Rhinolophus ferrumequinum: one gene and its partner. The protein of the gene in region 1 interacts with the protein of each later gene in a pairwise test. Links are inferred from orthologs where the notes say so. Each region holds a gene or a part of one and is shown in the gene's direction. Other genes may lie near its edges.

Region 1 (5,541 bases):
CATGTTTTTAATTATTGTATATGCTATATAATAACGTTTATGCAGATACTCCTTTTTATTTCTCATTGAAAAGGCATTTATTTTGCTCTGAAAAGCAAGAGAAAGAGACGGTACTTTAAACATCAACTGACTATGCTAAGTGGAACCATCAGTTATCTGCTTTTTTGTTTTGTTCTGTTTTTCTTTCTTTCTTTCTTTCTTTCTTTCTTTCTTTCTTTCTTTCTTTCTTTCTTTCTTTCTTTCTTTCTTTCTTTCTTTCTCTCTTTCTCTCTCTCTCTCTTTCTCTCTCTCTCTCTCTCTCTCTCTCTCTCTCTCTCTTTCTTTCTGTTTTTCTGCTTCAAGTTTTTATAAAGACGCAAATAATGAAAGGTATTATTGTAAATTAGTTCCAAAAAATAACTTTGGGGTTATTTACTTGGCCAGTATGAAATCAGCGTCATCTTTCCTATTTTCTGGGTATTTAGGCTATACAATGAGAATTGATTTTCTGAGTGATAGCCCTGAGAACTTGCAGGAGTCTCACTTATCAAAGAAAGTTTCAATTATGTTCCTATATTGTACTTACCAAGGAAGAAATTAAGGGAGTATACTTCACAAAAGCCTCCTTAAGAAAAGTTGCAATAACCTTCAGATACCTAGCTTAGCACACCTAGATAATTCAGAGGACCCATTTCTCAGTGGACTGTGCAATAGAGATTTATGGGATAAGAACATTTTACTTTTAGCAGTATTTATATATACTCCCAATAACCCCCAACTTTATTACATAATCAAAAGAGGTTTTCAATTAAAATTTAGGGGTAAGAGAACTACATATATGACAGTTAACTCACCAATAGTGCTGAGTAAAATAAAAGAATCAAACAGAAAATAAACAGAAGTACTAGACAATCCCAGGAGGCTGTGTTTATCTGTTTAGATTCCAGGCTGCTTTGCAAGAGAGTTTTAAGGCCTGGATGGGTGGCTGGACTAGAGAATCCGAAGGATGTTTGCCAATCCTGACATCGAGTGATCCATGGAATGGTGACAGTTAACTGGCCAGACCTCGAGGCTCTTTGATTTCCATTGAGTGTTCTCAGTAAATGCTAAATTAGTAATAAGCACATAAATGCAAAATGCCACCAAAGTAAAGAATTACAGCAAGGTGATAAAACATACCACATAGAACTTAATTATGTTCAGTACCAAGGAAGGCAATGGAGATACATATACATATATGTATCAAAAATAAACAACAAAACCCTTACTCTACAAAATAATGTCATCACTGTTCAAGAAACCAAAACCCTAGAATTATCGCCCTAATTTATTAAGATTTTAAGAACAAATTGTCCAAATTTGTAGGGGAGAAAAAAAGAGAAACATGGAATGTAAGCCTCACTGGCTTCTTATTGGTTCTGTAGCAGAGTGATTTGCATGTGGCAATCTCAGGAGAAACGATTAAACCATTATTGATCTCTGGTGAACTTACCAGGATGTTAAGAACCACAGAAGAAATGTATTAACTTAATATTTTTGGGTCAAAGTTCCATCTACCTCCAGAGACAGTAAAGAATAGTTCTAAAAAATTCATAATTTTCTATGGGAAAAATACAGTGCTAGATTTTTCTCCCCTAAAATGTTATAAAGTCCTCCATGTTATGAAGTGCTGCCATTCTAGTAACAGGCTCTAAGTCAGGCCTTCCTCTCCTCAGCCTTTATTCCTCCATCCCGACCCATCCCGACATGGCTGACGTCTTGTCACCTTTCTAAGCCCATCTCTTTCAGGAAGCCTTCCCTGAGCAATAGCCTTCACCATCTTCTTCATTTGTTCTCCAGACATTGTTACTTTTTCCCACACTGTGACAGCTTCTGTGGTATTTTTTTAAGTCCCCAATTTGTATGTGTGCTTGTGCACATGTCCTTTTTTAGGCTGTGAACTCTAAGAACACAGCCTACGTTTCACATTACTTGTGTATGTATCCCTAGACCTTAGCACATGCTTCATACATAGTATTTAGTTAACATTTCCAATATAAATGAATAAGAATATGGAAACATTATGATAATTAGACTAATGAGTGGGATATAGTCTGAGACACAAGGGAAACACATGGGAAACAGGAGCCAAAAAAAAAATAAATAAATTCTTTAGGCTGATGCAATATCCTCCTCTAAGTAATGGTGCAGGTATTCTGGCAAAAATTGCAATAAGCGGCGTGGGGGAACCTGGCACGAGATGCTATCTTTTGGTTCATGAGTAGATACACAAGGGAAGATCAAACCAGGGAAGCAAGAGCTCTTTATAATGCAAAATACTTAGTAAAACATAAAGAACTGACACCCAAGGATTTCTACTCAATCATTATTTGCTCTCAAGGACCTCTTTACCCTTTCTCTGTGAGCCTCCACTCTGGAGTATATGGATTGGGGGTACTGTCCTAGGGTCGGGGGCTAGGCATATCCAGCGTCCAGTGTGGCATTCCCACGCATTTCACACAGAATTGATGTCAAATCGGTCTCCTCAAAGTTTCATCTCATTCATCCATCCAAGGTAATGGCCTATTTCTAACCAGTCTCCCATTTTAGAGACCCCCCGTGTTATCCACACACACGCCTTCTTGTACACTCCCCACATCTATGGGTAAATATATCCTGTGCGTTCTATTCAAGAAACACTTTTAGTTTTTGCAGCTTCAGCTTTAATCTTCCTTATAGTTCCATAATATTCTAGCAACAGCTCTCTCTTTGAGCCACTAAGAAAGTGTCTATTTGTCCCTCCTGCCACCATATGTCCTCCATCTGTTGCAAGAAACCTCTTCCTTAAATCAATTAAATAAAATTAAAAAAAAAAATTCACAAATACCTGTATCAAATCTTTTACATTTCCTTTCCTTTCTCTTTACTCTTTTTATTCCCTCCTTTTCTCACAAGTTTTGAGGGGGGAATCTTGCTTACTGCTAATATTTAAATTCCTTAGATTAATATATGACTCTGTAAATTGGCTCCAATCTTTTCTTTCCCAGCTTCATATCCTGCCATTTAAAATCATATACAAATTTCTTCCATTTCATTGACTGTTTCACTTTTCACAAGAAATAATAGGCCTTGTCATTAATTCTTTTTTTTTTTTTTTTTTTTGTATATTCATTTCTTTTTGTCTGGAGTGACTCTCATCGTTTTCCACATGGAAAATGCTCATCCTTCAACATCCTTTTTCCTTTTTAGAGAAATGTCCTTCGTTCTGTTGGTTCCCTTAGTATACTGAACGTGTCTTTGGAAAAGCACTTATCTCCAGTATTCTGATTTACCGATTAACCTTTGATCCCTCCCGAGAATGTGATCTTCAAGGACAGGCACTAAGTCTGACCTACCTCTCACATTAAGCACATAGCATGATTCTTTCTATGTAGGATCCAAGCACTCACTGTTTGGGGAATAAAAGGACGAAGACTACAATGCTCAAATGAACAAAATGTATGTTTACATGTTGTTTAGGAAGAGCTGAAATTTTTTCATATCATGGGTTAAATAGGCTCTGAAGCGCTAACCTGGGAACCCAATGGATTGGAGTAACTTCGTTTCTAGGGGAGTGGACATTCTAAGTTCCAAGCAGCACACATACTAATGAACTTTGGAACACAACATGATACCCCAGGGTTCCACCAGGCTAAGCAGCAGGCACTGAGGCTGGCAAGCAGCCCTCAGACTGGTAAGTGCTGAGCCTCTTGGAAAGGTAAATGAACCTAAATGAAGGCAGCCAGTCGTGAGGAGCAGCTGAGCCAGTAACCGAGACCAGCTCCAGTCAGCCAGTGCACAACAAATGCCCTCTGCCCACCTGGCCCGCCTGGGCCCATGCCATGCTGGTCACTGTGTACTGTGTGCGGAGGGACCTCTCAGAGGTAACCTTCTCCGTCCAAGTCAGCTCTGACTTGGAGCTCCACAATTTTCGTGCTCTCTGTGCGCTCGAGTCCGGCATCCCAGCTGAAGAGATCAAGATCGTCTACATGGAGCGACTCCTCGCTGATGACCACAGTTCCCTGGGCTCCTATGGCCTCAAAGATGGTGATGTAGTTGTTTTACTTCAGACGGAGAATGTGGAACCTCGGACTTCTGGACGGACACCGAGCCTGCCTCGAATAGATTTCAATGGAGTAGCCATGCCTGGGACATCCGGCTCCCGGCAGCAACACCAGCAGCAGCGTCCACAGTCAGCCCAGCAGACCCATGGTTTAGGTTCCGGAGAGAATTTAACATCTGCTCAAGGTATGGACAGCCCCGCCTTGATTCGAAGCATGCTGCTCTCCAATCCCCATGATCTGTCCTTGCTGAAGGAACGCAACCCTGCCTTGGCCGAAGCCCTGCTCAGCGGAAACCTTGAGACATTTTCTCAGGTCCTAATGGATCAGCAAAGGGAAAGGGCCCTGAGGGAGCAAGAGAGGCTTCACCTCTACTCTGCTGACCCATTTGATTTGGAAGCTCAGGCCAAAATAGAAGAAGAAATCCGGCGGCAAAACATTGAGGAAAACATGAATATAGCGATGGAAGAGGCTCCAGAGAGTTTTGGACAAGTGGCCATGCTCTATATCAACTGCAAAGTGAACGGACATCCTATGAAGGCTTTTGTTGACTCAGGTGCCCAGATGACCATTATGAGCCAAGCTTGTGCTGAGAGATGTAATATAACACGGCTGGTAGACCGCAGATGGGCTGGGATTGCTAAAGGAGTGGGCACACAGAGAATTATTGGCCGAGTTCATCTAGCTCAGATTCAAATCGAAGGTGATTTCTTACCATGCTCTTTCTCAATCCTTGAGGAGCAACCCATGGACATGCTTTTAGGGCTAGATATACTCAGGAGACATCAATGTTCCATTGACTTGAAGAAAAACGTGCTGGTGATCGGCACCACTGGCACACAGACTCACTTTCTACCTGAGGGAGAGTTACCCCCATGTGCTAAGCTGGTAAGTGGTACTGGGCTACAAGAGTCTCCAGTCACTGAAGTAGCAGATAATATCAAACATTCGGTCATGGACGCAAGACGAAGAAAACATTGAAATGGGTTACACATAAGTCATCAACTTAAGGGAGTCTCAGGTTCCGGGAAATTTGAAGACATGAGCCCACTGGCAATGTAATCATTAAAAACATCGGTAACAACTAAATCTGGCTTTGGGACCAAGTTCTCATAGCTGTAACCATGTAAATCATAATGGCCTATTCTTGCCCCCTCTTCCATTTCCCTCATCCGTAGTTCACTGAACCTGATCCTGGGAAGGCTCTGGAGGCTCCAACTGATTACCAGGTAATCAATGAACGGAAAAGTTACCTCTTCCTTTAGCGATATCCTCCCATCAGATTACAGGGCGGCTTGTCCAAACTAGTTGTGATTTTGCAGAATTCATTGGAATACACCATCGCAGCAGACCCCACAACCATCGACACAAAACTATTTCGAATCAGCACTAACAATTATTTATATTCAGAGAAATATGTCTGTTGTCAAAAATTTTGTTTTCTTTGAGAAAGTTATTAGAAATGCTGGGTCAATTATACTCT
Region 2 (7,221 bases), on another chromosome or scaffold:
AAGAGAAGAGCCAGAATTTAAACTCTGCCCAATTCCAGACCCCAACTCAACAGTGAGGACCAGTCAGCACTTGCCAGCCTCCTGTGCATGAAGCCCAGTGATGGTCATTTTGTTTATGTCCACCCATTTCATCAGTAGTAGTAATTAGATCAGCTACCCTAGATGTCGGGGAGGGTTTCACAGAAACGTCTTTGTTTCCCACCCATGCCTAGGAATTCCGGGTGGGCCTTCTGACATTTGGGACCTGGGAAAATCAGGGACCAAGACATAGAGAAAGACTCAAGTTTTCTCAGCTTGCCGGTCTCCACTCATCTCAGGGGCACTTTACAGGCAGGTTCCACAGCCTGAAAGAGACATGGGGGTGCACAGACACGCATGCATGCTGTGTCAGCCATTCGAACCCTTTGGGGAGACACCCTCCTTCCAAGGGCCCTGGAATCTATGAGCATTATGCTTTTTGTTTCACCAGGAGGGAGAGAAGCTAGGGGCTAATAGCCGCTTCTGCAGGTGAGAATGTCATTCTTCAGAGAGGTCTCCCACACTAGGTGGGTCCATAGGCACAAAAGACATTTCCAACAGTATGTTCTTAATAAATGCTGGTTGATTTTTTAATGTTTTCTTGGGCATAGGAGCCCCTATCATCAAAGGACGCTGATCACCCAGGGAAGGAAAAGTCCGGAAGTTCCCCAAACTTTACCCCTTGTGCAGGCCACATGACCAGCCTAGGGAAGAGTTAACTTTCTGGCCACCGGAGACAGCGTCCTGCCCGCAGGGGCTGCCCAGCCAATGACACTCAGTGCTGATGATGTCATGCTGCTCCTGCGCCTTCTATTGGGGACTGGACAGCCAATCATTCAGGCAGTGGAGTCTCTGAGGCTGGGAGGAGGCAGTGGGAGAGGGAGGGGGAAGGGAAGGCAAGCAAAGCCATGCAGAGCTGCTTCTGCCTCATCCCTCTCTCCACTCCCCCAAAGCCTTCTGCAGAAAGGACTCTGGGGACCACCCTGCACTCTCGGACAAGCAAAGCAAAGCAAAGCAGCTCTGGTCCACAGGAGAGGCTGGGAGCTCCCATCCCCAACTGGCGAAAACAGACATTGAGCCTGCCCACCAGGCAAAGAGGAAACAGGGGGGCCAGGTGCCAGAATAGAGTGCGTGCGCACACCCATGTACACCCCCAGGCGTGGACAGGGACGGGACGGGCAGCCTCCATGGCAGCACTCTCCCTCCTCCACCCCAGACTCTTCTGCCTTACCTGCCTGGGGGCTCGGAGTCTGTCTCCAAGGTGCTGCCCAAAACTGCCCCATCTACTCCACTGGGCTCTCTGCGGGAGGGAAGAACAGGCAGGAAGAGCTGTGGGCCAGACCCCAGACTCCCTCTCCTGCTTCTGGGCAGGACCTAGTCACATTGGCCAGTGTCTCTGAAGAGCTCCAAGTCCCCTACTCTGAGGGGGCACCTCTGGGGATTCCTTGCAAATCCCTTCAGCCTCCTTGGAGGGCCAGGCAGCTCTGTGTAGCCCAGCCAAGCAGTTTCTCCCCCCTCCCCAGCCCATGGCCCCGTCAGTTCCTCACGGATGGACCCGGTTGGCGAATCGTCGGCGACAGAGCATAGCCAAGGTGCTGAGCAGGAAGAGGGTGGTACACATGGCTCATCTGCCCCATCCCCTCCCAGGCGGAGTCTGCGGAGGACGGCCAAGATGGCCCTGCCAGCTCCCCAAGCCACTGCTGTGTCCTAAGGTTCCTGCTGGTGCTGGATTAGGAGGCTCAAGCTGATTAGTGGGGTCGGTATACCTGACCTTGCGAAGATGACCGGTTAACCTCACTGGGCCCAGCTTGTCCCTCAGTGCCAGGTAAATCGACCTGTCTATTCTGGATGTAGATATGACTGAGACGTGGGCCTGGCCTCGACGGGTGTGTAGTCCAGACAAACACACTGGCAAGTTCAACAATGACAACAGTAGAGTGATTTAGGCCGTTAAAGGTACCTACAGGACACTTTGGGACTTGCAAGCATCAGGGGAAGCTTCAAAGGGGAGTTGGGGGCATCTGCATTGCCAGCTGCTCAAGGAAGGATGGGCCCTCAGACAGACTCTGCCAGGGCTGCAGACCACAAAAGCCAAAGCGCAGGGCACGTTCCAGCAGCTGGAAGTTGAGTGGCAGCAGGGCAATGACGTCACAGGCGAGGCATCAGGAGGGGAGGAATAGTGAAGCCAGGAAGACAAGGGAGCCAGGGAGTGAGGGGCTGGCTAAGTGGTTCAGTGCTTCCCTCTGGTCAGCCCTCTCCAAACGTTTCTGATCAACTCCCCTCCTCAGTAAGAGGCAGAATTTCAGTGTGCACTCACGAAGTAGATCGAAGCATCGGCTTATACATATATACTATGCTACTGTGCAAATACAACCCTGTCCCATAGACATATGTAGAACTTGTAAAGGATGAAATAGAAATAAATAGAGAAAAGATTTCTTCTACTTGCACGTCCTGGTGGAACTTCTTGGGCAGCCATGTGGAAGGCCACCTCCCAGGTTTTGGGAAACTATCAGAGGAGTTTAGAGAGGTGGCCCGGGGCAATGCTCAGACTCAGCCCAGGCAGAGCACCGAGGCACCGAGGCACCGAGGCAATGGCAAGGGGGACCAAAGTGAGGACCTGGGTCTGAGAGTGATGCAAGGAACTGAACCCACCCTCTCTCCTCCATCCCCCTCCAAGGCCCCAAAAGAAGGCTAGATTTTCCTTCCCTCGGCCAAGATGGAGGTAGTGTCAAGAGGCCACCAGCCCAGGATTCCAGTAAGGCACCTGAATCCTGAGCCCCAAGGAGGGCCAGAGCTGGGACTGCCTGCGCCTGGCATCTCGATTCTGAAATATGGATTTTTAAGTAAACACATAAACCAAAGCTGAAGAGAAGAGCCAACCTCTTGCGATATTTGAGCAGTGGGACACAAAGGCTTGAGCAAGGAAGCCCTAGGGAGAGGTGGACATACCTGCAGTGTGCCACTGTTTCAGACGCTGCAGCGGGACCTGGCATCAGGCTTCCCCTGGGAGTCAGAGGTGGGGCCTGGCTGTCCCAGGACTGAGCACCTGCTTGCAGAGTGGGAACCGGTGGCTCTCAGAAGTGCGGTCCCCACCTCTGATCCAATAGTATATTTACATCTCCCAGAGAGGAGCCACCAAGACAAGACCCCCTCCCTAACAGGGGCCTTGGTGGCTGAGCTGTCTCCAGTGGCCTGGGCCTCCCCAACACTTCCTGGCCCTCCCAGGTCTGTTTTGCCCAGCCCTGCTGTCTCTCCGGACTGCGCTCCCCCGGTCCCAGAATTCCGGGCAGCGCCTGGTTGTTGCCGGCCTGTGTCATTACTTAGACACCCAGGGACTTCTTTCCCACGCCGAGGGTGTGCACCAAAGGGCTGGGGGTGCTGGTCGGAAGGAAAGGGAGCGCAGGCCTCTGGCGCCCAAGTTTGAAAGCGGTGCCCCATCCCGCAGCGGTGGATTCCACTAAGGTACTGGAGCGGGGAGACTCCAGCAGGGAGACGACCCAGTCCTAACCTTCCAGGGGTCCGGAACTCCGGGAGAGGCGCCGCAACACCCAGCGGCTGGTTCAGGAGAGGCCAGGAGCCAGCGGGAGCTCAGCTCCGACCGCCGCGCCGCCAGAGGGGCTCGCGTATACCCGCTCCGGCCGGCGGCCACACCGCTAATGCCTGGGACTGTTATGACTTTGAGTCAGTTCCCCGCCGCGTGAAGGGTGCACACACACACACGCGCGTCCCAATATCGCTCGCAGCGTGAACCGAGACGCGGTGCCCCCAGACTTGCACCCAGCTGGGTGCACTCCTGTGCGACCCGCACCGCCCCGCGCCGCGTGACCGCCCCTCCTCCCGGGACCCCCCAGCACAGCCGCCACACCCACGCCCCAGCCCCGCCCCGCGGTCAAACTCCGTGGGGTCCTTGCGGGCGGGCGGGCTAGCGCCAGCCGCGTTGTCCCCACCCTGCCCTGCCTTCACCTTGCAGGAATTGGCTCACGGACACCGGGTTGGGGGTTTGGAGCGGATTTGTTTTTTTTAACATTTTTCCATCAGACCACATCCCCGCCCCCCGCTCGCGGTCCCCCGCCCCCTGCACATATATCCTGCGCGCAGACAGGCGCGCACACACACACACACACAAACACACACCCGGCGCACACAGACAGACACGCTCCCTCCCTCCGGCGCGCTCTACCCCTCGCCCTCCCGCCCGCCCGCCCGCCCGCCGCACACGCAGCCGCCCCGGCTCCCGGCGCCCAGCGCTCCGCTCTCCGCCGCCGCCGAGCGAAGCCGGGCTGGGCTTGGTGCTGCTCATGGAGAAAGTGCCGGGCGAGATGGAGATTGAGCGCAGGGAGCGGAGCGAGGAGCTGTCCGAGGCGGAGAGGAAGGCGGTGCAGGCTACGTGGGCCCGGCTCTATGCCAACTGCGAGGACGTGGGGGTGGCCATCCTGGTGAGGTAGGTGTCGCCCCAGCCCCGCCGGGCCCGGGGGAGGGAGGGTGGCAGCGGCTCCGGGCAGGAGCGGGCTCGGCCAGGGTCCGAGCTCCGGCGCCACCTCCCCAGCTGCGAATGGGGCCGCGGCCGGCGGGATGCGTTCAGCCAGGGGTGCCTTGGGTGGGCGAAACCCTGGCTGAGCCCTGCCTGGCTCTGGGTGCCGGACTCACCAAAAACTAGGAACCACATGCAGAAGGAGGGTACCTCTGTCCCCCTCCTCTCCTGGCCTCAGAACTCCAAGCTCCGCCAGTCATGCCTTCCTCATCAATGACCCCAGCCACCCGCCACCGTTATGGATACACATTTTAACAGCCTTTCAAAGGGGAGCTTCAGTGGGGGCTCCCCATTTTAGAGAAGGGAAAACTGAGGCTCAGCCCAGAAGGGGGACAAAGAGGAGCAGAGCCCTCTTTCCAGCTCAACCCCTTGAAAGAATTCAAGCCTCTTGGAAGAACAGTGCAAAGGACGAGAAAATAGAGGACAGAAGGAACAGAGGCTGAGGTCCAGTTTTCCCAGCAGGCCCTTCCTGACCTTAGGGAGTGGGCCAGCAGGGAGCTTCCAGGTGAGGCACAGGTGAACGGAGGAGCAAGCAGTCCCCGAGGATACATCCCTACTGAATTCGTGGAGGGAAGGGGAGAAGCTACAGGAGACAAGGCCCCACCCTGAACCCACCACCTGGGGAGGAAAGGCCACATGTCTTTGGCTCAGGGGTCATGCAGGCACCGCATGGCCTGGAGGAACCCACGTACACAGTGACAGTGTTGTTCACACACCCACAGACAGGTGCACACACCATTCCTACACAGTAGTGTCCCCAAGCCCTTAAGCCGTTAACTGATTGTAGCTACAGATCTGTACTTACTTCCCACACGTGCTGGGCCCTGGGGGTGGTGGCAGAGGGGACCCAGACTACACTCACCTCCAACCCGTGTCCGTGGCAGAGAGAAGCGGTCAAATCTAGGACAGAGCAGGCCAGTCTTATTTGAAGATGGTGTGAGACCTCATGGAAAGGACAGATGAAGCGCACGCCTGTCTCCCCGTCTCTGGCTCCTCTTTCTCCCCCACACTGTCTCCCTTCTGCCTCCCCCAAGCCTGGGATCTACCCAGCTCCATATTGATATGCCCTGATTCCAACTTAGAAACAGATTTTGGGGGAAAAAGAGCAAGAGGCACTCTTGGGGAGCTGGAGGAAGCTTCCTGAGGAAGGGGCAGCTATTTCGGCCCCTCGCGGGGTGGGGGGGGTGGGGGGTGGGGGGGTGGAAAAGCTAAGAGGGGATTTCAAGAGCTCGAAGACATCAGCCCTCTGGACACGCAGATCCCATGTGCGAACAACTGCACGAGCACACGGTGGGTGGGTCGTGGAGTCCGCAGTGGGCCAGACAGCCTCCCTGGAGGGCAGCTCTCAGCTGTGTGCAAGCTCGGCTGCCCACCAGGCCTCAGGATGCATAGGACACACCCAGGGGTCACCAAAAGGAAATGAGGCAGAGTCCCCGGGATGGACCTTGGAGGTTCTCTGTGCCCACCCCCACCTTGTCATTTGCCAGTGAGAGCTTATATGGGATGTGTCTAAGATCCAGCTTCTGGGGTATCACCCCAACTCCCCAGGAATGGGGGCCTACAGAGAAAGGAACTGAACACTGAGGGCTGCTCTGGCAAGGTTTTCTTTCTCTCACTGTACCCCTCTAGTGTCCCATTCCTGACTCTTTGAAGGGCCGGGACTGGGATGGGGGAGGTGTTTGCCAAAGTGCTCAGAGCTCAGAGGGAGCCTCGCAGTTAATGTGAGGAGGCCTCGCCTGCTGATCACCCCGTGCCACACTTCACCTGACCCCACTCTGTGTGGACTGGCACCCAGCCCAGCCCAGCCCAGCCCAGCCCTGGCCCGGTGCTGGCTCAGATCCTTCCTACCAGCCCCAGGTCCCACCAGCCTTCCTTCCCTTTTGTTCTTCCTCCTGCTCTCTGCCCCAGGACCTGGACATTTGGGGTGGGGGGGGAGTGGGTGTTAACACGGGGCAAGGGCAAGACTGATGAGCTTCTCAGGTATCCTGGAGCCTCCCCCCCAGATCCTATGCCCCTCCGTTTTGTCACAACCCCTCCTATCTTTCCACTCCCCTCCACAAGGACAGACCCCAGTGAGAGCCTGAGACACTAGCCCTCTGACCATCACTGTCGCCTCCTTCGTCCCCACTGGGCTGAGGCCAGGTGTATCCTACAGCCTTCACCCCACCCCAGGAGTTATCAGCCACAATGCTGGTGGTGGTGGAGGTGCTCCTGCGGGTCTGACCCCACACCTCCATACCCTGCCCGGGAGGACAGGGAGGGCACTCCCATGCTCTAAGGCCTAGTTCAGGCTCTCCTGGAAGCCTAGAGGCCTCTGGGAGCTGAGAAACCCCGCAAGGCTGGCTGGTGAGGCTTCTCCCTGGCAGCACGGGACTGGATGGGGAGGCTTAGGAGTAAACACGCAGGGGCTGGGGTGAGGGAGCAGAGCACGTGGCCCCTAGATGTCCCTGGCCCAGAAGAGGGGCTCCCTGGGACTGTCATTCCTCAGGGCGCTGGATGTTGAGGCAGGAGACTTATCTCGGTCCCAGGCCACAACACTCCCCCACACCCCTCGCTGCAGTCTCTCAGAGGCAGTATGGGAAAACTGTCAGGGGAAACTGTCAAAGCAGGGATTGCCAGGCTCTTTCCTGGCCCTGCCACCAACTCCACCAACTTCACTGGGCAACCTA

What was found. The genes of interacting proteins can lie anywhere in the genome.
Region 2: the proteins of DDI1 (region 1) and CYGB interact in binary tests that used the Homo sapiens proteins (3 or more experiments, as listed by UniProt). The two-hybrid records come from large-scale screens. The link is inferred for Rhinolophus ferrumequinum from reciprocal best matches to the Homo sapiens genes DDI1 and CYGB.

Annotation. Positions count from the first base shown.
Region 1 is NC_046294.1:73,280,562-73,286,102, forward strand, and holds DDI1 (protein DDI1 homolog 1), read left to right. Parts: upstream 1-3,839; coding exon 3,840-5,039; downstream 5,040-5,541. UniProt on the Homo sapiens protein: Probable aspartic protease. Seems to act as a proteasomal shuttle which links the proteasome and replication fork proteins like RTF2. Required, with DDI2, for cellular survival following replication stress.
Region 2 is NC_046304.1:51,178,103-51,185,323, reverse strand, and holds the start of CYGB (cytoglobin), read left to right. Parts: upstream 1-4,200; 5' UTR 4,201-4,319; coding exon 4,320-4,462; intron 4,463-7,221. Other genes in the region: photoreceptor disk component PRCD, read right to left, coding at 1,246-1,318, 1,566-1,639. UniProt on the Homo sapiens protein: Probable multifunctional globin with a hexacoordinated heme iron required for the catalysis of various reactions depending on redox condition of the cell as well as oxygen availability.